Anolis sagrei: one gene and its partners. The protein of the gene in region 1 interacts with the protein of each later gene in a pairwise test. Links are inferred from orthologs where the notes say so. Each region holds a gene or a part of one and is shown in the gene's direction. Other genes may lie near its edges.

Evidence for each region.
Region 2: the proteins of RASSF5 (region 1) and STK4 interact in binary tests that used the Homo sapiens proteins (3 or more experiments, as listed by UniProt). The link is inferred for Anolis sagrei from reciprocal best matches to the Homo sapiens genes RASSF5 and STK4.
Region 3: the proteins of RASSF5 (region 1) and MYLIP interact in binary tests that used the Homo sapiens proteins (3 or more experiments, as listed by UniProt). The two-hybrid records come from large-scale screens. The link is inferred for Anolis sagrei from reciprocal best matches to the Homo sapiens genes RASSF5 and MYLIP.

The regions. Positions count from the first base shown.
Region 1 is NC_090024.1:195,607,297-195,614,909, forward strand, and holds the start of RASSF5 (ras association domain-containing protein 5), read left to right. Parts: upstream 1-4,593; 5' UTR 4,594-4,738; coding exon 4,739-5,363; intron 5,364-7,613. UniProt on the Homo sapiens protein: Potential tumor suppressor. Seems to be involved in lymphocyte adhesion by linking RAP1A activation upon T-cell receptor or chemokine stimulation to integrin activation.
Region 2 is NC_090024.1:217,653,635-217,661,847, reverse strand, and holds the start of STK4 (serine/threonine-protein kinase 4), read left to right. Parts: upstream 1-4,978; 5' UTR 4,979-5,156; coding exon 5,157-5,188; intron 5,189-8,213. UniProt on the Homo sapiens protein: Stress-activated, pro-apoptotic kinase which, following caspase-cleavage, enters the nucleus and induces chromatin condensation followed by internucleosomal DNA fragmentation.
Region 3 is NC_090024.1:81,176,273-81,184,037, forward strand, and holds the start of MYLIP (E3 ubiquitin-protein ligase MYLIP), read left to right. Parts: upstream 1-4,342; 5' UTR 4,343-4,484; coding exon 4,485-4,571; intron 4,572-6,775; coding exon 6,776-6,966; intron 6,967-7,765. UniProt on the Homo sapiens protein: E3 ubiquitin-protein ligase that mediates ubiquitination and subsequent proteasomal degradation of myosin regulatory light chain (MRLC), LDLR, VLDLR and LRP8. Activity depends on E2 enzymes of the UBE2D family.

The DNA.
Region 1 (7,613 bases):
TGCATCACCAAACTGTAAATCCCAGGATTCCCTAGCATTGCACCATTGCAGTTAACGTGGTGTCAAACAGCATTAATTCAACAGTATAGCTGCATCCCTAGAGGGATCTTAAAGGAGTGAATGTGAAACAGAGAACAGAAGAGAAGAGGAATTCTGTTTAGCAGGAATAAGAATTCTGCACTTGTACTTTGTGGACTGTGCAAAGCATTGGAACACTGTATGTGCCAGGTTCAGTATAAAATAAGCAATATTGCTGCTGTTTAATTACAAGTTTGATTTAATTCTGCAAATTGTTTACACCTTTGCTGTTTATATTTACAGTGTTTATTTCTAATTGGCTCCATAGATCCCAAGGAAGTGGTGTATAGGCTTTACTGACTTAGGCTATATCCACACTACATAATTATAGCAGTTTTACATCATGTTAACTGCCATGACTCAATGCTATGGAATTTTTGTGTAGTTTTGTGAGATGTTTACCTTTTTCTGTCAGAGAGCTTTAGTGCCACAAAAAGCTGCAAATTCCAGGATTCTATTGGATCGACCCATGGAAGGTAAAGTGGTATCAGACAGCTGCAATTCTCCAATGTGGTTAGTCTTTTAGTCATTTTGTCTGAATTATAGAGTTGGAAGAGACCTCATGGGCCATCCAGTCAACCCCCTGCCAAGAAACAGGAAAATCGAATTCAAAGCACACCTGACAGGTGGTATTCAACCTCTGTTTGAAAGTCTCCAAAGAAGGAGCTTCCACTACACTCTGAGGCAGAGAGTTCCACTGCTGAACAGTTCTCACAGGAAGTTTTTCCTAATGTTCAGGTGGTATCTCCTTTCCTGTAGTTTGAAGCCATTGTTCCGCATCCTAGTCTCCAGGGCAGCAGAAAGTCAAGGATGCTCTTTTCATTGAAAGACAATTGGCTCTTGGTACTCATAGATTTAGCCACTGACAGCTTGATTTTTTTTTAAACAAACTTTCATGTAAGGGACACCATTTACTATGCCATTGTATATAACAAGACTTGCGTTTCCATGGATTTTGGTAACCATGGAAGGTCCTAGTACCAATTCCCAGCAAATATCAAAAGCCCACTGTATCTTCTGCTATAATGCAAAACATGGGGATAATCTTAGTGTGCAAATGATATTCATTAACCTTACAAAAAGACCATTTCTGGTGGTGGGAGATTGATCGAAATAGTTTGTTGTTATGCATAGATATAACTGCCTGCACTATTAGGTCATAAGGAGCACCTGCATTTCAAAAATTACCATTAAGCCACTGGGTTGTCTTTGTACTATGAGAGAAGATAATGGAAAACATGAAAAGAAACCAGACCTTGGTGGAAACTTACTGCACATAGAACATGCTGCAAAGAATGGAGCCTTTTCTCCCAGGGCATGAAACTCCTGAGAGATCTAACCTCACTATGCCTGTCTGTACACAGCTTAATGGGTTTTCTGCCCCTAGTGCCAAAGATGTACAAAGCCAAGACGGCTTGGTGTATTTTCGTGAGGCTTTCTGTCTCTTTATCCAGCTGATGAAGCCTCCTCTAAAGTCCTTGAATCTGGTTTAATGAGAGCCCATCTACCTTTGTGAAGGAAAGAGGGAGCATTTCATTTATTGTAGAAGAAAGGGATGGGCACATAATACAATTCCTGCACTGCTCCAGGAGGCTTTTATTATTTTTTTCTGGATGAGAAAATGTCTTTTACAGATGCAGAAAAATACTTACACTGGAAGGACGTTGGAATAATTGACCTTCAGAGGTCCTTTTCAACTCCAATTCTATGACTCTCTTCTGTTATTATCATTCACATACTTTTTATGTTTTTTCAATTCTATCCCTTGTAATTTGGCCCAGACTGCTGTGCACATTTCTATTATTTTATTTCATTACCTGTGTTTGACTTTGTATTACCTTGTTTTGTCTACATTTTATTTCATGTTTATTATTTGCAGCATGTATTTTATTTTGATCTGTTGTAATTGTTGGGCTTGGCCTCATGTTAGCCACTCCAAGTCCCCTTTGGGGAGATGGTGGTGGGATAATAATAATAATAATAATAATTATTATTATTATTATTATTATTATTATTAACACAACAAGATGAGTCCACAGCAGACACTCTGCTGGCTGTTGTATTAGATCATGCATCGGACACTTCCCAAGTGTCTAGGACTGTGTGATTTATCAGCGAATAATGCATGCAGATCCCAGTATGGTGGCCTTCTGCAGCTGGCAAATGGTAATATTGTCAGCGCTGATTGTGTTTAAGTGCAGGCCAAGGTCTTTAGGCACTGCATCCAGTGTGCCAATCATCATTGGGACCACCTTGACTGGTTTGTGCCAGAGTCTTTGCAGTTTGAGCTTTAAATCCTCATATTGTGTCAGCTTTTCCAGTTGTTTCTCTTCAATCCTGCTGTCACCTGGGTTTGCAACATTGACAATCCATACTTTGTTTTTTAACATGATCATGAGGTCAGGAGTGAGGTGCTCCAAAACTCTGTCTGTCTGAATTCAGAAGTCCCAGAGGAGTTTGATGTGTTCATTTTCTGTAATTTTTTCCGGCTTGTGATCCCACCAGTTCTTTGTTGCAGGCAGATGGTATTTGCGGCACAACTTGTTATTATTATTATTATTGTTGTTGTTGTTATTGTTATTATTATGTTATTGTTTGCCTTGAGGTCTTTTTTGACCTAGGGGTGCATCTACACAAGAGAATTAATGCATGCAGTTTGACACCCCTGTAGCTACCACAATTCACTACTATAGAATTATAGAAGTTGTAGTCGTACTCCAATGCTCAAACATAGGCTCCTATTTATTATTAGTTTTTACCAATCCATCAAAAAGCCCTGGAAACCTTCCCTTCCTCCAGGACTAAAAAAGAAAAAAAAACCTTGGGTATATTATCTTGGTCAATGGCCAGCAATGAAAAAACACAATATAGAATAAGGAAAACATAAAGTAAGGCAATAAAATGTCAGTATTTGAACTAGAGCAAAGAAACAATGTGAAATAGAAAAAGTTAAAAACCAATGATGAATAAGCCTTTGACAACACAATGACAACACAATACTGTACTCTCAGGGCTCTTCCACTGAGGGCCCTTTCATACAGCCCTATATCCCAGAATATCAAGGCAGAAAATCCTACAATATTTGCTTTGAATTGGGGTATCTGAGTCCACACTCAGATAATGTGGGATTTCCTGCCTTGATATTCTGGGATATTAGGCTGTGTGGAAGGACTCACAATCATATAACTCAGATTATTGAGGCAGAAAATCGCTGAAGACCTTCAGAATATACAATATTTTCTGTTGGCAATGGGGGTTCTGTGTGGGAAGTTTGGCCCAATTCTATCATTGGTGGGGTTCAGAACACCCTTTGATTATAGGTGAACTATAAATCCCAGCAACTACAACCCCTAGATGTCAAGGTCTGTTTTCCCCAAACTCCACCAGTGTTCATATTTGGACATATTGAGTGTTTGTGCCAAGTTTGGTCTAGATCAATCATTGTTTGAGTCCACAGTGCTGTCTATATCTAGGTGAACTCCAACTCCCAAACTCAAAGTCAGTGCCCACCAAGCCCTTCTAACATTTTCTGTTGGTCATGGGAGTTCTGTGTGCCGAGTCTGGTTCAATTCCATCGTTGGTTGAGTTCAGAATGCTCTTTGATTGTAGACGAACTATAAATCCCAGCAACCACAACTCCCAAATGATGACATCAATCTCCCCCAAACCCACCAGTATTCAAATTTGGGCATATTGGGCATTTGTGCCAAATTTGGACCAGTCAATGAAAATCCATCCTGCACAGGCTCGTAGCCAGGATTTTGATTTGCGGGTGGGGGCTGAGTTTGATTGGGGGTGCTGAGGTTGATTTTGGGGAGGGGGGCAGAGGATCTACCCTAGCAAACCTTTGGTATCATTATCCCAATACCCCCATGCCTATGGGATATATTGATCATGGTGATCAGATCATGATATGAATAAACACAACAGTTTAAATAATGTACCAGTAAGGCCTTCTCATGGACCACCCTGAGAATTTCGGGGGGGGGGGGGGCTGAAGCCCATCAAGCCCCCCCCCCCCGGGCTACATGCCTGATCCTGCATATCAGATATTTACATTCATAACAGCAGCAACATTGCAGTTATGAAGTAGCAACAAAAATAATGTTCTGGTGGGGGGTCACTACAACATAAGGAACTGTATTAAGGGGTCAGGGTATTAGGTAGGTTGAGAACTACTGGTTTAACCCATTGCACCACCGGGGACTCCCCCATTCCTGGTTAAAGATAGTCATACCTTTAATCCTTGCACATTAACCAAGCTATTGCTGCTGCACGATGCGTAATAAGCCTCTGAGCATGTGCAGAATGCCTTTCTCCCCAAACTTTGTTGTATTTTTGGTGAGCTAAAGAGGAGTCGGGAGTTGTAGTGCGGAGAAGGATGGAGAAAGACCTGGTGGAAGGACAGCTCCCGGGAGGGGCTCCCTAGAGAGGCAGGAGTGGTGTCAAGGCGCATTAGCCCCGCAGACAGGGGCCCGGCGAGGCCGCGGGGCCTGGCTCCTCCTCCTCCTCCTCTTTTGCAGGTCCCTTTAAGAGCGCCTGCGCTGCCGGCCAGGTCGCTCTCTCGCAGACTCGGAGGAAGGAAAGAAGCAAGGAAGGGCGGGCGGGCGGGCGGCCTCCCTCTCTCTCCCTCTCCGTCTCTCTCTGCTCCTCTGGGGCCATGGCCATGGCTTCTCCGGCCGTGGGGCAGTTCCCCCCGTATCCGCCGCTGCTTCTGGACAAGGAGCAGCAGCGCTTCCTGCAGAGCCTCAGCGCCTCGGAGAGGAAGAAGCTCCGCAAGCGCTCCCTGCCCGCCGGCAATAGCGACCTCCTGCATCCACAGCAGCAGCAGCAGCAGAGGAGGAGGAAGAAGAGGCAGGCCGGGGGGGCCATGGAGGGGGGCGAGGAAGAGGAGGACGAAGGAGAGGAAGGCGCCCAGGAGGAGCAGCAGCAGCAGGAGGAGCAGGACCAGGAGGAGGAGGAGGGAGGACAGGGGCGCAATGCGGAGCCGCCGCGGGGCGCCAACCTGCGCCTCATCCTCGAGCCTCCCGAGGAGCCCTCGCCCGCCAAGCCCGCCTCGCTCCCCTCTCACCCGCACCACCACCACCACCACCAGCGGCTCCGGCTGAAATGCGGGGCTCCACGGCTGCTCCCCGACGTGCGCACCATCTTCGAGCAGCCCCGGGACCCGCGCGTCCGGCCCGAGAAGGGCGAAGGGCACCGCTTCCAAGGCTTCGCCCTCGTCTGGCGCGGGTGGTGCGACCTGTGCGGGAGGGAGGTCCACCAGCGGGGCCTCCGCTGCGCCAGTAAGTGCGCCAAACAGGGGAGCCGGGGGGCGGGCGGGAAAGGGGCAACCCCGTGCAATGCAAGGACCGGCCCTTCCTGGAAAGTTTGGGTGCCCAGGCCCATTGGACACAACCTAAGGGGCTCCCCACACACATCCACACCTGAACTGCCCACCCCACTTCCCTCCTTGCTTCATATCTACTATTCCAGTGTTTCTCAACCCTCCTAATGCATTAACCCCTTAATACAGATCCTTATGTTGTGGTGACCCCCAACCATAACATTATTTTTGTTGCTACTTCGTAACTGTATAATTTTGCTACTGTTATGAATCTTCATGTAAATATCTGATATGCAGGATGTATTTTCTTTCATAGGGCCTAATTTGGTACAAATACTCGCCCAAATTTGAATACCGATGAGGTTGGGATTGATTTTGTCATTTGGGAGTTGTAGTTGCTGGGGTTTATAGTTAATCTTCAATCAAAGAGCATTCTGAACTCCACCAACGATGGAATTGGACCAAACTTGGCACACAGAACTCCCATGACCAACAGAAAATACTGGAAGGATTTGGCAGGCAATTGACCTTGAGTTTTGGAGTTGTAGTTCATCTACACCCAGAGAGCACTGTGGACTCAAACAATGATGGATCTGGACCAAACTTGGCACAAATACTCAATATGCCCAAATGTGAAGTGAACACTGGTGGAGTTTGGGGGAAATAGACCTTGACATTTGGGAGTTGTAGTTACTGGGATTTATAGTTCACCTACAATCAAAGGGCATTCTGAATACCACCAATAATAGAATTGAGCCAAGTTTACCACACAGAACCCCTGTGACCAACAGAAACTACTGTTTTCTGTTGGTCTTTGGTGACCTCCACAGGGGTCCCAACCCCCAGGTTGAGAAACACTGTACTATTCCTTAGATCAGGCCTGGGCGAGCTTGGGCCCTCCTCCAGATGTTTTGGACTTCAACTCTCACCATTCCTAACAGCCTAACAGCCTCCCCCTTAAGCCTCAGCTGCTTAAGGGGGAAAAGGAAAGGGCCTGACGCTGTTAGGAATGGTGGAAGTCCAAAACATCTGGAGGGCTGAAGTTTTCCCATGCATTCCTTAGCTGCACCTCTTATGAAGCACCTCTTGTGCAGCAGCCCAAACCTATAGACTCCTAAGGCACAGAGGAGCATTTTAAGGGGGTGCTTCTTGATTCTTCCGTACTTGGGGGGTAAAGTTTAGCAACATGTTCACCACATGAGCCTCACCTAGCAGAGCAGACACATTGAGAGACCACCAGTGTCTGGAAGCCTTCCTCCATGTGCCACTCATTCCTTTTAAAAGCTAGACACCCTGATAGAAAACAGGTAAGAAAAGCGTAAGCAGCTGAAGGGGGAAAGGAAAGGGCCTGAGGCTGTTAGGAATGATGGGAGTTGAAGTCCAAAACATCTGGAGGGCTGAAGTTTGCCCATGCCTGCCTTATGCACCTCTTATGAAGCAGCCCAAGACATGGTCCTTCAGATTGTTGTTGTTCATTCGTTCAGTCGTCTCCGACTCTTCGTGACCTCATGGACCAGCCTACGCCAGAGCTCCCTGTCGGCCGTTACCACCCCCAGCTCCCTCAAGGTCAGTCCAGTCACTTCAAGGATGCCATCCATCCATCTTGCCCTTGGTCGGCCCCTCTTCCTTTTGCCTTCCACTTTCCCCAGCATAATTGTCTTCTCTAGGCTTTCCTGTCTCCTCATGATGTGGCCAAAGTACTTCAACTTTGTCTCTAGTATCTTTCCCTCCAGTGAGCAGTCGGGCTTTATTTCCTGGAGGATGGACTGGTTGGATCTTCTCGCAGTCCAAGGCACTCTCAGCACTTTCCTCCAACACCACAGCTCAAAAGCATCGATCTTCCTTCGCTCAGCCTTCCCTAAGGTCCAGCTCTCACATCCGTAGGTTACTACAGGGAATACCATGGCTTTGACTAGGCGGATCTTTGTTGCCAGTCTGATGTCTCTACTCTTCACTATTTTATCGAGACTGGACATTGCTCTCCTCCCAAGAAGTAAGCGTCTTCTGATTTCCTGGCTACAGTCTGCATCTGCAGTAATCTTTGCACCTAGAAATACAAAGTCTGTCACGGCCTCCACGGTTTCTCCCTCTATTTTCCAGTTGTCAATCATTCTTGTTGCCATAATCTTGGTTTTTTTGACGTTTAGCTGCAACCCGGCTTTTGCGCTTTCTTCTTTCACCTTGATTAGAAGGCTCCTCAGCTCCTCCT
Region 2 (8,213 bases), about 22 Mb from region 1:
ACTCATTTCAACTCCAATGACAAGAACAGAAACATTTTAAAATTCATTTATATCCTGCTTTTAGCCCCCGGTAGCGCAATGGGTTAAACCCTTGTGCTGACCGAAAGGTTTGCAGTTCGAATCCAGGGAGCGGGGTAACTCCGGTCTGTCAGCTCTAGCTTCTCATGTGGGGACATGAGAGAAGCCTCCCACAGAATGATAACACATCCAGGCATCCCCTGTGCAACGTCCTTGCAGACAGCCAATTTTCTCACACCAGAAGCGACTTGAAGTTTCTCAAGTTGCTCCTGACACAAAGTAAAAATCCTGATAATGGGACCTGGCTAACAACATATTTAGAACAATACAAATTAAAATCTGGACAAAAGCTAAGATAAAAATATATAAAATTTATTCAATCATTTTTATTATTTAAACTAATAAAAGTATTAAAACTTGTGAGATTGTAGCTCTCCCTCCTCCCTCACCATTGCATTTGCTGTCTAGGACTGATAGTTGTAGGTCAGCAATTTAATTAAAAGCATTTATTATATGGTTGTGAGGCAGTTCTCATTTCCTGGTATATACAGGTGGCAAACGTATGTGACTACAAATGTAATTTTTGTACCACGTGCATAGCTTGTAAGTGGCATGGACCAGGAAGCAAAAGACTTAGGTTATATATTCCAAAGTGTATAATTTAGGAACAAGCCTCAGGATCATATTGGATTTTTAAAGTGTATTATTATTTATAATAATAATACTTTATTTGTAGACTGCCCTATCTCCCTGAGGGGACTCAGGGTGGTTCCCATCCAGACCTCTGGCAGGATAGGTTTGTAGCCATTGTGGTAATGAGATTTGCCAACAAACAGCCTGCAGACTGGCCCTCAAACAAAATCAATTTCTCTCCAAAACACAAGGCTGGTTTTAATTTTAATTCCTAACTATGGTTTGTCATCATAGAAACACTGAGGAATAGGCTCTTTTGCTTAACTGCATTTTGCAGTGCTGCTAAAATTAAAAAAAAATGTGGTTGATGTTAGCAATAGAAGTAATCTACTCTCAGATCATAAATCCGAATGGTTGCACTACTATAGTTCAAATGACACCCTAAATGGTGATGTACATAACATGAAACTAGAAAAGCTTATGATTTCCTTATAGCAGTGATGCAAGCAAGCCTAGAAGATAGTCAGTTTTGAAATGCAAAAACATTTAGTGTTATGTCAAGACACAACTGGGGAATGCCAAAGAGCTAGTACCACTCAGATACCTAGGATGCACCAGGGTAACTAACAGAAAATATTTCTGTTTTTGACAGCTTGGGACCTGTACTTTCAGTGATCCCTTTTCTACTATGGATGGACTCAACACTGACATTTAGACTGCATTTTTTCACATAATATCATGACTTAATTACACTTACAAGCATTCATCTAAAGATTACTAAGGAGTAGTATAGATATGTACTTGCAGACATGGTATGAGTTATATTAACACCAAATATTTTATCACACTCAATGCAAATCCACCATATTTATTTATTTATTTATTTTATTAATCAATTTTAAACTCCCCGAAGGCTCGGAGCAGTCTATAAAATCTATATAAATAAAAATGTAATGTCCGTTTGTGGGATTAACAGAACTCAAAAACCACTGGATGAATTGACACCAAATTTGGACACAAGACACCTAACAACTCAGTGTATGTCCTTCACCCCCCCCCCCCAAAAGATTTTGTCATTTGGGACTTGTAGTTGGTGGGATTTATAGTTCAATCAAAGCATTCTGAACCCCACCAATGATGGAATTGAACCAGACTTGGTACACAGTTTTCCCATGACCAACAGAAAATACTGGAAGGGTTTGGTGGGCAGTGTCCTTTGGTTTTGGAGTTGTAGTTCACCTACATCCAGAGATCACTGTGGACTCAAACAATGATGGATCTGGACCAAACTCTTCACGAATACTCAATATGCCCAAATGTGAATACTAGTGGAGTTTGGGGAAAATAGAATCTTGACATTTGGGAGTTATAGTTTATGGGATTTACAGTTCACCTACAATCACAGAGCATTCTGAACCCCACCAACGATAGAATTGGGACAAACTTCCCACACAGAACCCCATGACCACCAGAGTGGGCCACAGCTAGTTGATTAATAAATGTGAAGAAAGCTAGAAAATGTCACAGTAAAATGTATTTCTCCAACAACCATAATCATTTGCAACCACCAACTATGCAATAATAATAATAATAATAATAATAATAATAATAATAATAATAATAATAATAATTTACCACCCTATCTTCCTGAGGGAGCACAGGGCGGTTCCCATCCAGACCTCTGCAACGCATGGCAGGGGGTGGCTAGTTGGATAATAAAACTATAACTATAACAAAATCAATAAAAACATGAACATTAGTGTCTCCTATTAAAAAACATTGTTCAATCACATCGTCCAACCATTCCATTTTCCTATGTCTATTACACTATATTTGGAAATGCCTGCTCAAAGAGCCAAGTCTTGACTCTCTTTCGAAATGTTAAAAGGAAGGGGACCGATCTGATATCCTTAGGGAGGGCATTCCATAACCGAGGGGCCACCACTGAGAAGGCCCTGTCTCTCGTTCACGCCAGACGTACTTGTGACGAAGGCGGGACCGAGAGCAGTGCCTCCCCAGACAATCTTAAAGTCCTGGAGGGTTCATAAGATGCGTTCGGACAGGTAAGTTGGGCCAGAACCGTTAACTGTTTTGAACTGGATTCATTATAAGAGTCTACACTGCCCTATAATCCAGTTGAAAGAAGATAAGGCAGGTGTGGGAGGGGGATGGTAACTAGACCCCTATAGATCCTATAATAATTTTCTTCAGCCAGCACCTTAATCACTGACTTGGACATCACCTCAGCCTTGTTGACTTGTAAATGCCTTTTTACTTTTAATATTTTGAGTGTTTGCATTTTCTTGCCCTGATGAAGGGAGTTGGACTGGATGGCCTTAAGTATTTTCTGTTGCTCATGGGGGTTCAGTATGGGAAGTTTGCCCCGATTCTGTCATTCGTGGGTTCAATCAAAGAGCATTCTGAATTCGTGGGTTCAGAATGCTCTTTGATTGTAGGTGAACTGTGAATCCCAGTGACTACAACTCCCAAATGTCAAGGTCTATTTTCCCCATACTCCATCTGTGTTAATATTTGGGCGTATTGAGTGGTTGTGCCAAGTTTGGTCCAGATCCATCATTATTTGAGTGTACAGTGCTCTCTGGATGTAGGTGAACTACAACTCCCAAACTCAAGGTCAATGCCCACCAAGAACCCTTCCAGTATTTTCTATTGGTCAAGGGAGTCCTGTGTGCCAAGTTTGGTTCAGTTCATTCATTGAACTCCCAAATGACAAAAGCATAATTTTTTGAGTGATGGTCACTCCTTGTCTTGTGAGATGTTTTGTTGCCAAAATTTGGTGTGATTTCGTCCATTGGTTCTTTTGTTTTTAAGGTACTCATTATGCACAGAGCATTTATATATATATAGGTTCTTGCGGGTTTTTTCGGGCTATAGGGCCATGTTCTAGAGGCATTTCTCCTGACGTTTTGCCTGCATCTATGGCAAGCATCCTCAGAGGTAGTGCGGTCTGTTGGAAATAGGAAAATGGGTTTATATATCTGTGTAATGGCTGGGGTGGGGCAAAGAGCTCTTCTCTGCTAGAGCTAGGTGTGAATGTTTCAACTGACCACCTTCATTATCATTTGAAGGCCTGCCTGAGCCTGGGAAAATCTCTTGTTGAGAGGTGTTAAGATGTGCCTGGTTGTTTTCTCTCTGTTGTTTTGCTGTTGTAATTTTAGAGTTTTTAAATACTGGTAGCCAGATTTTGTTCATTTTCATGGTCTCTTCCTTTCTGTTGAAATTGTCCACATGCTTGTGGATTTCAATGGCTTCTCTGTGTAGTCTGACATGGTACTTGTTAGAGTGGTCCAGCATTTCTGTGTTCTCAAATAATATGCTGTGTCCAGGCTGGTTCATCAGGTGCTCTGCTATGGCTGACTTCTCTGGTTGAAGTAGTCTGCAGTGCCTTTCATGTTCCTTGATGCGTGTCTGGGCGATGCTGCGTTTGGTGGTCCCTATGTAGACTTGTCCACAGCTGCATGGTATATGGTAGACTCCTGCAGAGGTGAGAGGATCCCTCTTGTCCTTTGCTGAACATAGCATTTGTTGGATTTTCTTGGTGGGTTTGTAGATGGTTTGTATGTTATGTTTCCTCATCAGCTTCCCTATGCGGTCAGTGGTTCCCTTGTAATGTAATGTTTGTTTGTGGGATTAACAGAACTCAAAAACCATTGGACGAATTGACACCAAATTTGGACACAAGACACCTAACAACTCAGTGTATGTCCTTCACTCAAAAAAAAAAAAGATTTTGTCATTTGGGACTTGTAGTTGGTGGGATTTATAGTTCAATCAAAGAGCATTCTGAACCCCACCAATGATGGAATTGAACCAGACTTGGCACACAGTTTTCCCATGACCAACAGAAAATACTGGAAGGGTTTGGTGGGCAGTGTCCTTTGGTTTTGGAGTTGTAGTTCACCTACATCCAGAGATCACTGTGGACTCAAACAATGATGGATCTGGACCAAACTCTACACGAATACTCAATATGCCCAAATGTGAATACTGGTGGAGTTTGGGGAAAATAGAATCTTGACACTTGGGAGTTGTAGTTATTTATTATATTATAATCTGGATTCAGAAACTCGGATTATAGGGCAATGTAGATGGGACTTCAGCCAAACTACAGCTCCCACGGCTCCACAGCCTGGGACTGGACTGAACTCAGGCTGCTGCGCGAGCTCGGCCACGCCCATCGAGGGGGCGGGCTTAATCTCCTCCAAGAGTTTGAGGAGGGGGGGGGAAGCAAGCACGTGGTTCGTGCCGCGCGCGGCTCTCTAGCGGGCGGGCTTCGGATTGGCTGTTGCCGGGAAGCGGAAGTGGGCCTGGTGCCTTGGGAGGGCGGGGCTGAGCGAGAGGTTCTTCTCAGAGCCCGGCAGCACGCGCGAAGGGATGGAGCGACGGCGGTGAGTGAAGGAGTGAGTGGTGTGTGCGGCGCCCTTGGCCTCCCTCACAGCCTCTTCCCTCAGTCGGGGGCAGAAGAAGAAGAGGAGGAGGCCGCCATGGAGACCGTGCAGCTGCGCCACCCGCGCCGGTGAGAAGCTCTGGAGGGCTTGAGGGAGGGAGGGAGGAGGCAGCCTCGAAAGGGGGGAAAGGAGGGCGGGGTGGGGCCAGTGCTTGAGGCAAAGGGGAAGGTCGGCTGGGTGTCAAAGGCTTTCTTCTTTCCCCCACTGCCTCCCCGCCCTTCTCAGGCCTTCCTTTTTTCCTCCTCCTTGGGGAATGTATTTCATCCCGATGATGATGATGATGATGATGATGATGATTATTAGTTGTAGTATTTATATCCCGCTTTCTCTCTCTTCAGTGTGACTCAAAAGCAGCTAACAATATTAAAGAATAAAAGTGCACAGATTAAAACAAAAAGGATGTAAACAAATATTTATTTAAAACTAGCGTTGCTGTGTCCAATCTCCCCTTCCCCTTTCTCTCCTTCTCTTTTTTCTTTCCTTTTCTCCTTCTTTCTCTACCTCTCCTTCCTTCCCCTCTCTTTATCTTCCCCTTTTTTCTTTCTGTCTTTCCTTCTTCCTTCCTATTCTTGGACTGCAACTCCCAGCAGTCCTCCTGATCGATCGATCTACCTACCTATCTCTATGTAATAATAATAATAATAATAATAATACTTTATTTGTACCCCGCTACCATCTCCGAACCCGAACACAACAATACAACAATACATGAGGCCGAGCCCGAACACAACAATACAAGCAATTAAAATAAAAACATAAACAATAAACATATCACATTATCAATAAGACAACATACAATTAAAAACTGTGGGAAGGCCAAATGTAAAATTAAAATTGGAAATAGTGCTGAAACATGGGCGAAAAGGTGATAGTGGCGTTTGTGGAAAGACGTGTAATCTATCTATCTTATCTATCTGGAGGATTGCTGAGAGTTTATTTATTTATTTATTTATTTCAAAGTTTTCTATACCGAACTTCTCAATCTCATTGAGGGACTCAGCCCGGTTTCCAACCATAAAAACACATACACTCATTAAAATATCATATATCACAATTACAATAACAAGTTTAAAATAACACTATATATAAAACTACGGTGGTCAGTCGTCATATTAAAATCAGATCTACATCATCTTCCATCCAGAATCCTAGGGTGTTGTCTCATTCATCGAAAGCCTGACTGCACAGCCACGTCTTCACTCGTTTCCTAAGTGTCAGGATAGACGCGGCGGTTCTGACCTCCGGTGGGAGAGAGTTCCAGAGTTGCGGGGCCACCACCGAGAAGGCCCTGTCCCTCGTCCCCACCAGACGCGCTTGAAAGGCCGGTGGGACCGAGAGCAGGGCCTCTCCAGATGATCTTAATAATCTTGATGGTTCGTAGGGGAGAATACGTTCGGAGAGGTAAACAGGAGAGTTGCAGTCCAGGAATACGAAATTGGAAATATGCACTGTATTGTTGTTTAGTTTTTTTTTGGTTTTTAATTTTTTTTTTCCGCTGGCTTTTTTTTTGGGGGGGGGGGGATATGAGTTATGGTCACTCATTGGTCTGTTAAGGGTATAGTGTCCAAATTTTGTGTCAATTCGTCCAGTGGTTTTTCAGCTATGTTAATCCCACAAACTAAAATTACATTTTTATTTATATAGATAACATATATCCTATTATTATTATAATTATTATTATTATTTTTATTAATGAATGCCCTGATTTTTCTGTCTTCAAAATAGCTCAGGAGCAGCTAATAATATTAAAAAATAAAATGCACAAAATTAAAACCAGAAAGATGTAAACAAATGTTTATCTCAAAATATATACTCTGTTTAATATTATTTATATCCCACTTTTTCTGTCTTCAAAATGATTCAAAAGCAGCTAACACTGTTAAAAAATAAAAATGCACAAATTAAAACCAAAAGGATATAAACAAATATTTATTTTTTAAAAATATTAGTATTTATTATCTCCTTTTTCTGTCTTCAAAATAACGCAAAGCAGCTAACAACATTAAAAAATAAAAATGCACAAATTAAAAACAAAAAGATGTAAACAAATATTTATCTAAAAACATGTACCCTTCTTCTTCATATTCCCCTTTTTCTCTACAAAAGAGACTCAAAGCGGCTTCAGTAAAACAAATGCAATACAATTTAAAACCTAAAAATATACAAACTTTAAAATCTTTGCATTTGCTCCGCTTGCCCTTCTTTGTCAAGCATCTCAGGAGAAATTTTGTCATCCAAGAACATAAACTTCCCTTTACGGCACTCCATGAGTGGTTTAACTGCCATGGTTCAATGCTGTAGGAACATGGGGATTGTAGTTTTACAAGATCTTAAGCCTTTTCTATCAAAGAGGTTTTATGTCTCACCATACTATAGGTACCACAGGTCCATAGCAATGAGCCAAGGCAGTCAAAGTTTCAAACTGCATTAGTTTTGCAATGTGGATGCAGCCTTGGAGGTTATCAGATGGAGATGAGATTCCCAGTGGGTATAAATAGTGGAATACTTTCTATTTGATGGGGGAAGAAGATTTCTTTTTACGTCTTCCGTACATGTATACACTCTTTAAAAATAATACTTTTTTTTACCCACAGCTTCTCAAGTCATGGTACAACATAGTTAAAATACACAGATAAAAATATAAGCCCATTTAAAATGTGTAGGTTAAAGCACATTAAAATTATTCATATTAATAAAATGTCAGCTTTCTTCACGGTGGATTTGGATTGAGTGTGATCAAGTCTTCGGTGTTAATATAACTCATACCATGTCTGCATGTACATATTTGTACTATCATCCATGGTAGAAAAAGTTTCACTGAAAGTACAGGTCCCAAGTTGTCAAAACTGAAATATTTTCTGTTAGTTACCCTGGTGCAGCCTAGATATCTGAGTGGTACAGAGCTCTTTGACTGGTTGGTGCTCCCCAGTTGTGTTTGGACATAACACTGAGGGCCCTTCCACACAGCCATATATCCCAGAATATCCAGACAGAAATTCAGATAACCCAGTTCCAAGCAGATATTGTGGGATTTTCTGCCTTGATATTCTGGGATATAGATCTGCGTGGAAGGGCCCTAAAGCTTTTCTTATA
Region 3 (7,765 bases), about 110 Mb from region 1:
CTTTGATTCTACGATTCTATGATTCTATGATTCTATGAACTGAGTTATCTGAGTCCACACTGCCATATATTCCAGTTCAAAGAAGATAATGTGGGATTTTATTCAGCTGTGTGGAAGGGGCCTTAGGTTCTGTTGATCAATGAGCTATTGACATTCTCTACCATCACATTTCACAGAAAACTGCCATATAATCCAGTTCAAAAATAATCTGGATTTTATATGGCAGTGTAGAAAGGGCCTCAGAAGGCACCTACAAGGATCTATCCAGAAGTGTCTACATTTGAAGAGCAAATCATCTTATAATACTAGGTAAAGGTAAAGGTTTTCCCCTAACATTTAGTTTGCCTGTGTCCGACTCTGTGGGTTGGTGCTCATCTCCATTTCTAAGACAAAGAGCCAGCGTTGTCCATAGACGCCTCCAAGGTCATGTGGCCAGCATGACTGCATGGAGTGCTGTTACCTTCTCGCAAAAGTGGCAGCTATAGATCTACTCACATTTGCATGTTTTCAAACTGCTAAGTTGGCAGAAGCTGGGACTAACAGCAGGAGCTCACTCCGTTCCCCGGATTCGAACCACCAACCTTTTGGTCAACAAGTTCAGCAGCTCAGTGGTTTAATCCGCTGAGCTTATAACGCTGGATACATGCATTTTGGTGCTTCAAATGTTAGCCCTGCTTTTGGGTATATTTGACCTGCTGATTTCAAAAATGGCACTAGTTTTCCTCTGTCAGCTCTAGTTTTTGAGATATAGAACATATGCCATCTACCAGTTGCCATCTGCTCACCCATAGAAAATCATGATAACCATTTCTAAGAAACTAGAGCAGATACAGTCTATCCAATGCAATTTTCTGAATCAACACCCCAAATAACCCCAAGAACAGGCTTAAAAGCCACAACACAAATATTTTTTTGTTGGGCTGTGTTTGTGTGTCAAAGTAAGCTCACGATAGAGCAGGGATGAGCAAACTTTGGCCCTCCAGGTGTTTTGGACTCCAACTCCCACAATTCCTAACAGCCTACCGGCTGTTAGGAATTGTGGAAGTTGGAGTCCAAAACACCTGGAGGGCCGAAGTTTGCCCATCCCTGCTCTATTATGAGCTTACTTTGGCACACAAACAGATTGCTTATTATGGTTAAGAAAATGCCAGAGCAATTCAGTATTCTTTGCTTGTGATATTGCAGTGTTATTTGTGACATCATATTGTGAATATATATGTAGAAACCTGCATACAATTCTTTTTTTTTTTGTTTTTTTCCCCCCAAAATGAACAAGGCAAGGATTTCTGTATTGTATACTTTGGCATAATGTTTCCATATTTTAATTGTAATCGTTTCCTGTGTGAATTGTACAGCGAAAAGGCAGAGACAATACAAAGTAATCTATCACAGCCAAAAATACAATCCTGTGTGCTCTTCTCCTGGAATTAAAGTCACTGAAGCTTGTGGGATTTATTTTCAAATAAACATGGATAGAATTACACTAAATCAGCTCTCTACTGAATAGACTCTCCTTTTCCAAGTGTTAACTAGACTTCAAAGAGAAAACGTCTCTCCTTCTGGTACAAACTACCTAATAGAAAGCAAGCAAGGAGATATAGAGAGGAAGGGAACATATGTGTTTGCTATAGATTGGTATTGTTATCAATTGCACTACAAAACATGGTTTTTGTTCCTGAGTTATAAATGTCATTTCCTAATTGGTTCTGTCATAAAAACATGGACAAAGTTTAGTAAACTGCAAAATGTTGTTTTTGTGGGATATCCTGCAGCACATTTTGTCTCAACCAATTCAACATAGGGTTGCTGTGATTTTTTGGGGCTGTATGGCCATGTTCCAGAAGCATTCTCTCCTGACGTTTCACCCAAATCTATGGCAGGCATCCTCAGAGATTGTGAGGTCTGTTGGAAAATGAGGCAAGTGAGGTTTATATATCTGTGGAATAATATCCAGGGTGGGAGAGAGAACTCTTGTCACCTCACTACCCCTGAGGATGCTTGCTGTAGATGCAGGCGAAACGTCAGGAGAGAATGCCTCTAGAACATGGTCATATAGCCTGAAAAAACCTACAACTATCCAACTCTCATCTGTTTGAGGCAAGTGGGAATGCTGCAATAGGCCACCTTGAGTGGCATAGAATGGCCTTGCAGCTTCAAAGCCTGGCTGATTCCCACCCTGGACATTCCACAGATATATAAACCTCAAAATCACAGCAAACAAGAGTTAACTCCCTTTAAAAAAAAAATCAGTCATTATGCGATGTGTAGTTTGGTGAGCACAAATACTAAGAAGGCTAAGGTCCTTGTAAAACTACAACTCCCAGCATTCCATAGCATTGAGACATGGTAGTTAAAGTGGTGCCAAACTGCATTAATTCTACAGTGTACTGTAGATCCATTCTATGACCTGGAAAGAAAAAAAAAAGGAAGCCCACTTATTCACAGAGCCTCCATAAGTCAAAGCTAACTTGAGGGCTATGAAGTCCAGCAACAACTGATTGCCCCTGGTTGCCTGATTATTTGCCTCTCTAAACTTATTTAGGTGATCCCTCGTAGTCAGAGGATGATGGTCCTCCAAGTGATGTGTCTTGACGGTGGGTTCGTAAATGGCTATGGAACCCAATTCTTGATCCGCTTTTTCTCCCGCAGTGGGGACATCGGTTTACAGGTGGAAAGCTGTCCTGGTCAGGGTTGGCTTGGCGCACCTACCTCTTGGAACGTTTCTCCCTTTTGCACTCCATTCATGCCTCTTCGAATTCTGCAGCATTGTTGGACACAGCTGACCTCCAGTTAGAGCGCTCAAGGGCCAGGGTTTCCAGGTTCTTGATGTCTATGCCACAATTTTAAAGGTTGGCTTTGAGCCTCTCTAATTTATTTATTTATTTACAACATTTATATGCTACTCTTCTCACCTCGAAGGGGACTCAGAGCGGCTTACAAGATATATATACATACAATATATTATATTATTAGCATAGCATAATATCAGTATTATATATTACTATATTGTACTATATTATTATATTGTAAAATATATAATAATATAAAACTTTATACCCCGCCACCATCTCCCCAAGGGGACTCGAGGCGGCTTACGTGAGGCCAAGCCCAACAACACATCAGTAAACAACAAAGCAGCAAGCAAATAAAACAGTACAATTAATATAACTTACATATAAGCAATAACACACAAACATTTTAAAATCTTAAGGCCGGGCCAGATGTAATAGATTAAAATTTTAAAATAAACACTGGGCGTGAGCAGAGATAGGATGTATCTAAGTAGGATATATATATAAAATACATAATTATAATATTGTATTATTATTAGTGGTAGTAGTTTTATATTGTATTATAAATTATTATTAGTATTATATTGTATTATAAATTACAAATGTATTATCTAAAAATCCCCCTATGCCACTTTTAAGCCACAAGGTATGTGTATCCGTGTTCAAATCATTCTGTTTCCAGCTAGCACCTCCCAACAAAGGATTCCCTCAGGCAGCAGCCAGGCAGGCTTTGAAGCTGCAGGGCCATTAAATGCTAATCAAGCTGGCCATCTGCAACATTCACACTTGCCTCAAGCAGACAAGAGTTCTTTGGGTTGCTGTAGGTTTTTTCAGGCTATATGGCCATGTTCTAGAGGCATTCTCTCCTGACATTTCGCCTGCATCTATGGCAAGCATCCTCAGAGGTAGTGAGGTCTGTTGGAACTAGGAAAAAGGGTTTATATATCTGTGGAATGACCAGGATGGGACAAAGGACTCTTGTCTGTTGGAGCTAGGCGTGAATGTTTCAACTGACCACCTTGATTAGCATTTGATGGCCTAGCAGTGCCTGGGGCAATCTTTTGTTGAGAGGTATTTGATGTCCTTGTTTTTTCCTCTCTGTTGTTTTGCTGTTGTAATTTTAGAGTTCTTTCCCTAGACATTCCTCAGATATGTAAACATCACTTTCCTAGTTTCCAACAGACCCCTCAACCTCTAAGGATGCCTGCCATAGAAGTGGGCGAAACATCAGGAGAGAATGCTTCTGGAACATGGCCTCACTGGCCGGAAAACTCACAGCAACCCACTCTGTTTCCTATTACCTTGCCCCGCACTATGTATTGCACACAGGAACCGGAAGTTTATGCACCCAGTTGTGTGGGCACCCTTGAGCCCTTTGACAACAACATGTCTTTCTCAGTCCGCCAAACCCGCCCTCCCGGCAAGCACCGCTTTGGATTGGTCGGGAAGGCTGCATGTAAAAACAGAAACGCGCCCGTCTATTGGTTATATCCCATCGAGGGTGGGGCTTAATCGAAGTGGGCGGGGCGACCGAGGTGATATATAAGACCGGGAACTGCTTTTGGCTTCAGAGCAGGGAAAGGTCTGACGCGTGGAGGTTGAGGGAGGTCTAGGGCTGGGGGCTCTTCAGTGTGCGTCGTGGCCGACGAGGAGGAGAAGACGGTATCCGCAGCAGCAGCAGCAACGGCGGCCATGCTGTGCTATGTGACTAAGCCGGACGCTGTCGTGATGGAGGTGGAAGTGGAGGCCAAAGCCAACGGCGAAGACTGCCTCGACCAGGTGAAGAAGAGTCGCGCGGGTCTCTCTCTCTATCTCTCAATCGGCCGTTGAGCCTGGATTGGCCTCGCGCGCGCTCTCTGTCTCTCTCGCGCGCACGCTCTCTCTACTCCTCCCCCCCCTTCCCGACAGAAGTCGGAAGGGCATTCTATCCATCTGCGTCCCCTCCCCCCGGTGCTACTGCCGTCGCGCGCCAAGGGCTTCAAGCAGGCGCGCGCTCCTATAGCCAGGCGTTGCGTTGCTTTGCGCCGCCGGCGGGGGGGGGGGGGTGAAGTGGAAGGGAGATGTAACAGCCTGCGGCCCGGCTGCTCCCATAACCTCCCACGCGTCACTCACGCTGAGCCGCCTTGCTTGTAGTGTGGAGGGAAAGCCCCACAACCACCCCCGGGCCCACTTTGAACCTCATCCGCCGCCTGGCCCTTTGCCACTGAAGGACTATATATCAGCCCCTGAAGTCGAGAGAGAAATGTCACAACCCCCAGAGAATGTGGTCGCCATGTGTGATGTGGCCTAGTGGGTTGAGCGTTGGGCTTAGGGTGCATTCACACTGTGTAGAACAGCCAGGGGCAAACTTGGGCCCTCCAGAGGTTTTGGACTTCAACTCCCACCATTCCTAACAGCCGGTAGGCTGTTAGGAATGGTGGGAGTTGGAGTTCAAAACCCCTGGAGGGCCCAAGTTTGCCCATGAATGCTGTTTGACTCTGAACTGGGTTCTGAGAGTTGTAGTTTCATCACAAGTTCTCGAGCCGGCATGCTGTTAGGAATTGTGAGAGTTGAAGTCCAAAACACCTGGAGGGCCCAAGTTTGCCCTTAGGGTGCATTCACACTGTGTAGAACAGCCATGAGAAAACTTGGGCCCTCCAGGTGTTTTGGACTCCCAACTCCCACCATTCCTAACAGCAGGTGTTTTGGACTTCAACTCCTACCATTCCTAACAGCCAAGTTTGCCCCTGGCTGCTGTAGAATGAATTCTGTTTGATTTGAACTGGGTTCTGGTAGTTGTAGCTTCATCACAAGGTCTCGATCCATCTTTGCAGACTCTCATGATCTCATAGCATCCAGCCCTGGCACCTGAAGTGGCCTCACACCATATTTGCTCTTACAGCTTTAGAGGAGAGCGAATTCTCACTGCCTGGATAACCTTAGATGGGTCACACATTCTCAGCCTCTGAGGAAGGGCACCACACAAACCCTTCTGAATGTATCTTGGCAAAAAAATACCCCATGATGCTAACATTTGATTTCAATGTGAGCGGGAACACAGAGCAGCGTTGTGGTCTGTGTATTTTGGACTGTGATTCTGGAGACCTGGGTTTGAATCCCCACTTGGCCCTGGAAACTAATCGTGCGACCTTGGGAAAGTCATACTTTTTCAGTCTCGGAGAAAGCTCACTCTGAACAATTCTTACCAAGAAAATCCCGTGACAGATTAGTCAGAAAGGGCAGGAAGGCGCACAACAACAATGGAGACGCGTGAAAGGGGAAACATGTGGATGCTTTCATTGCCTCGACATGTCCCTCCTTTGTGGGTATACAGAAGTCCTTGGGTCCAATTGCATTCATTATCTAGGGCCCTTTGTTCCATGTTTTTATCTTTTTCATAGAATCATGGAGTTGGAAGAGACCACAAGGGCCATCCAGTCCAACCTCCTGCTATGCAGGGACATATAATAAAGCAGTGGTTCTCAACCTATGGGTCTCCAGGTGTTTTGGCCTACAACTCCCAGAAATTCCAGCCAGTTTACTAGTTGTTAGGATTTCTGGGAGTTGAAGGCCAAAACATTTGGGGACCCACAGGTTGAGAACCACTGTAAGGATTCCTGACAGGTGGCCATCCAGCCTCTGCTTTAAAACCTCGAGAGAACTCAATCACATTTCCAGGCAGAATATTCCACTTTGTCAATTTAGTAAAAGCTCCAAGTGTGTGTTCCCGTCTTTGTTTTGATATTTGCAGTATGTTGGATAATATTGAAGGGCAAGTTGGTTCTTGCTGAATGCTTGAGGTATATAAGGTTGATTTTCGTTGAACACTCCCAAGAATAATTCTGGTTTTGTTTTGGGGGAGTTTGATGTCCTATTGGAGTGATACTGTTTCCATTGGTATGGTTACAACTCCACCAAGTGGGGTCTCGATTGGTTTCTCACACTGGACCTGGTTGACAATCATTGGGCCAACTTCTATAATGTTTCATTTTTTTTATTCCCAGGTTTGCAGGCGATTGGGAATTATAGAGGTTGACTACTTCGGACTCCAGTTCACAGGGAGCAAAGGCGAGAATTTGTGGCTAAATCTACGAAACAGAATATCCCAGCAGATGGACGGTCTGCCTCCTTATAGATTGAAGCTGCGTGTCAAGTTTTTTGTGGAGCCACATCTCATCTTGCAAGAACAAACAAGGTAAGGGAAAAATAGTTGGTAGTAAACTTGTTTGTTGCCTGTAAAGCCTTTCTGATTTGTCAGTTGCACAGTGTTACTTGAGTTTGTGATTCTAAAATATGCCCATAGCATTTAATTAGAACTTCTGGATTTATTATGAATATATTTTCATAGAGAAAAAGCCTGTTCTAACACACAGTATTAACATAAGGGGAACTGCCAATGACTCATCTAATTATAGAAGCATTTCCACAAGTCAAGTGGAAGAAGCAAAGTATTGGCTCAGATGCCCGATAGTAACCTCTTAGCAGTGTTATTACAGGGCATTTTTTAAAAGTTCACAGCAGGAAACTGTCCCTCCAGTGTTTCAACTTGCAGAACTCCTTCTTTTAGTCTGGTATCATATTACCACAATGTTTCAAACAACTGTGGGCTTACTGCGCACTGCAGAAAGAAGATCACTCATTTTCTTTCTTAGGAAACAATAAGTTAGCAGGATAGGTAACTTAATCCTAGCCTTTGAGTTCACAGATGTAATTAAACTTGGAAGAAGGCAACATTTATTCACAATGGTCCCTGTTTAGGGAGGATTTTGTGGGAAAATGTTACCCAGACAAAAAAAATGCATACTTGAGTTGGAAGTTTTCTAAATGAAGGTAGAATTATGATGAGATCGTTAAACAGGAAATATGCTTATGTCTAAATACTAGTCTCTGATTGATTTAACATAATTATAGGTATACTGTGACGGTCTTGGTGCTCCTTTACTGCTGTAAATGTTGTAATACATAGAATGCATTATTTTCTAGGTAAGCACTTG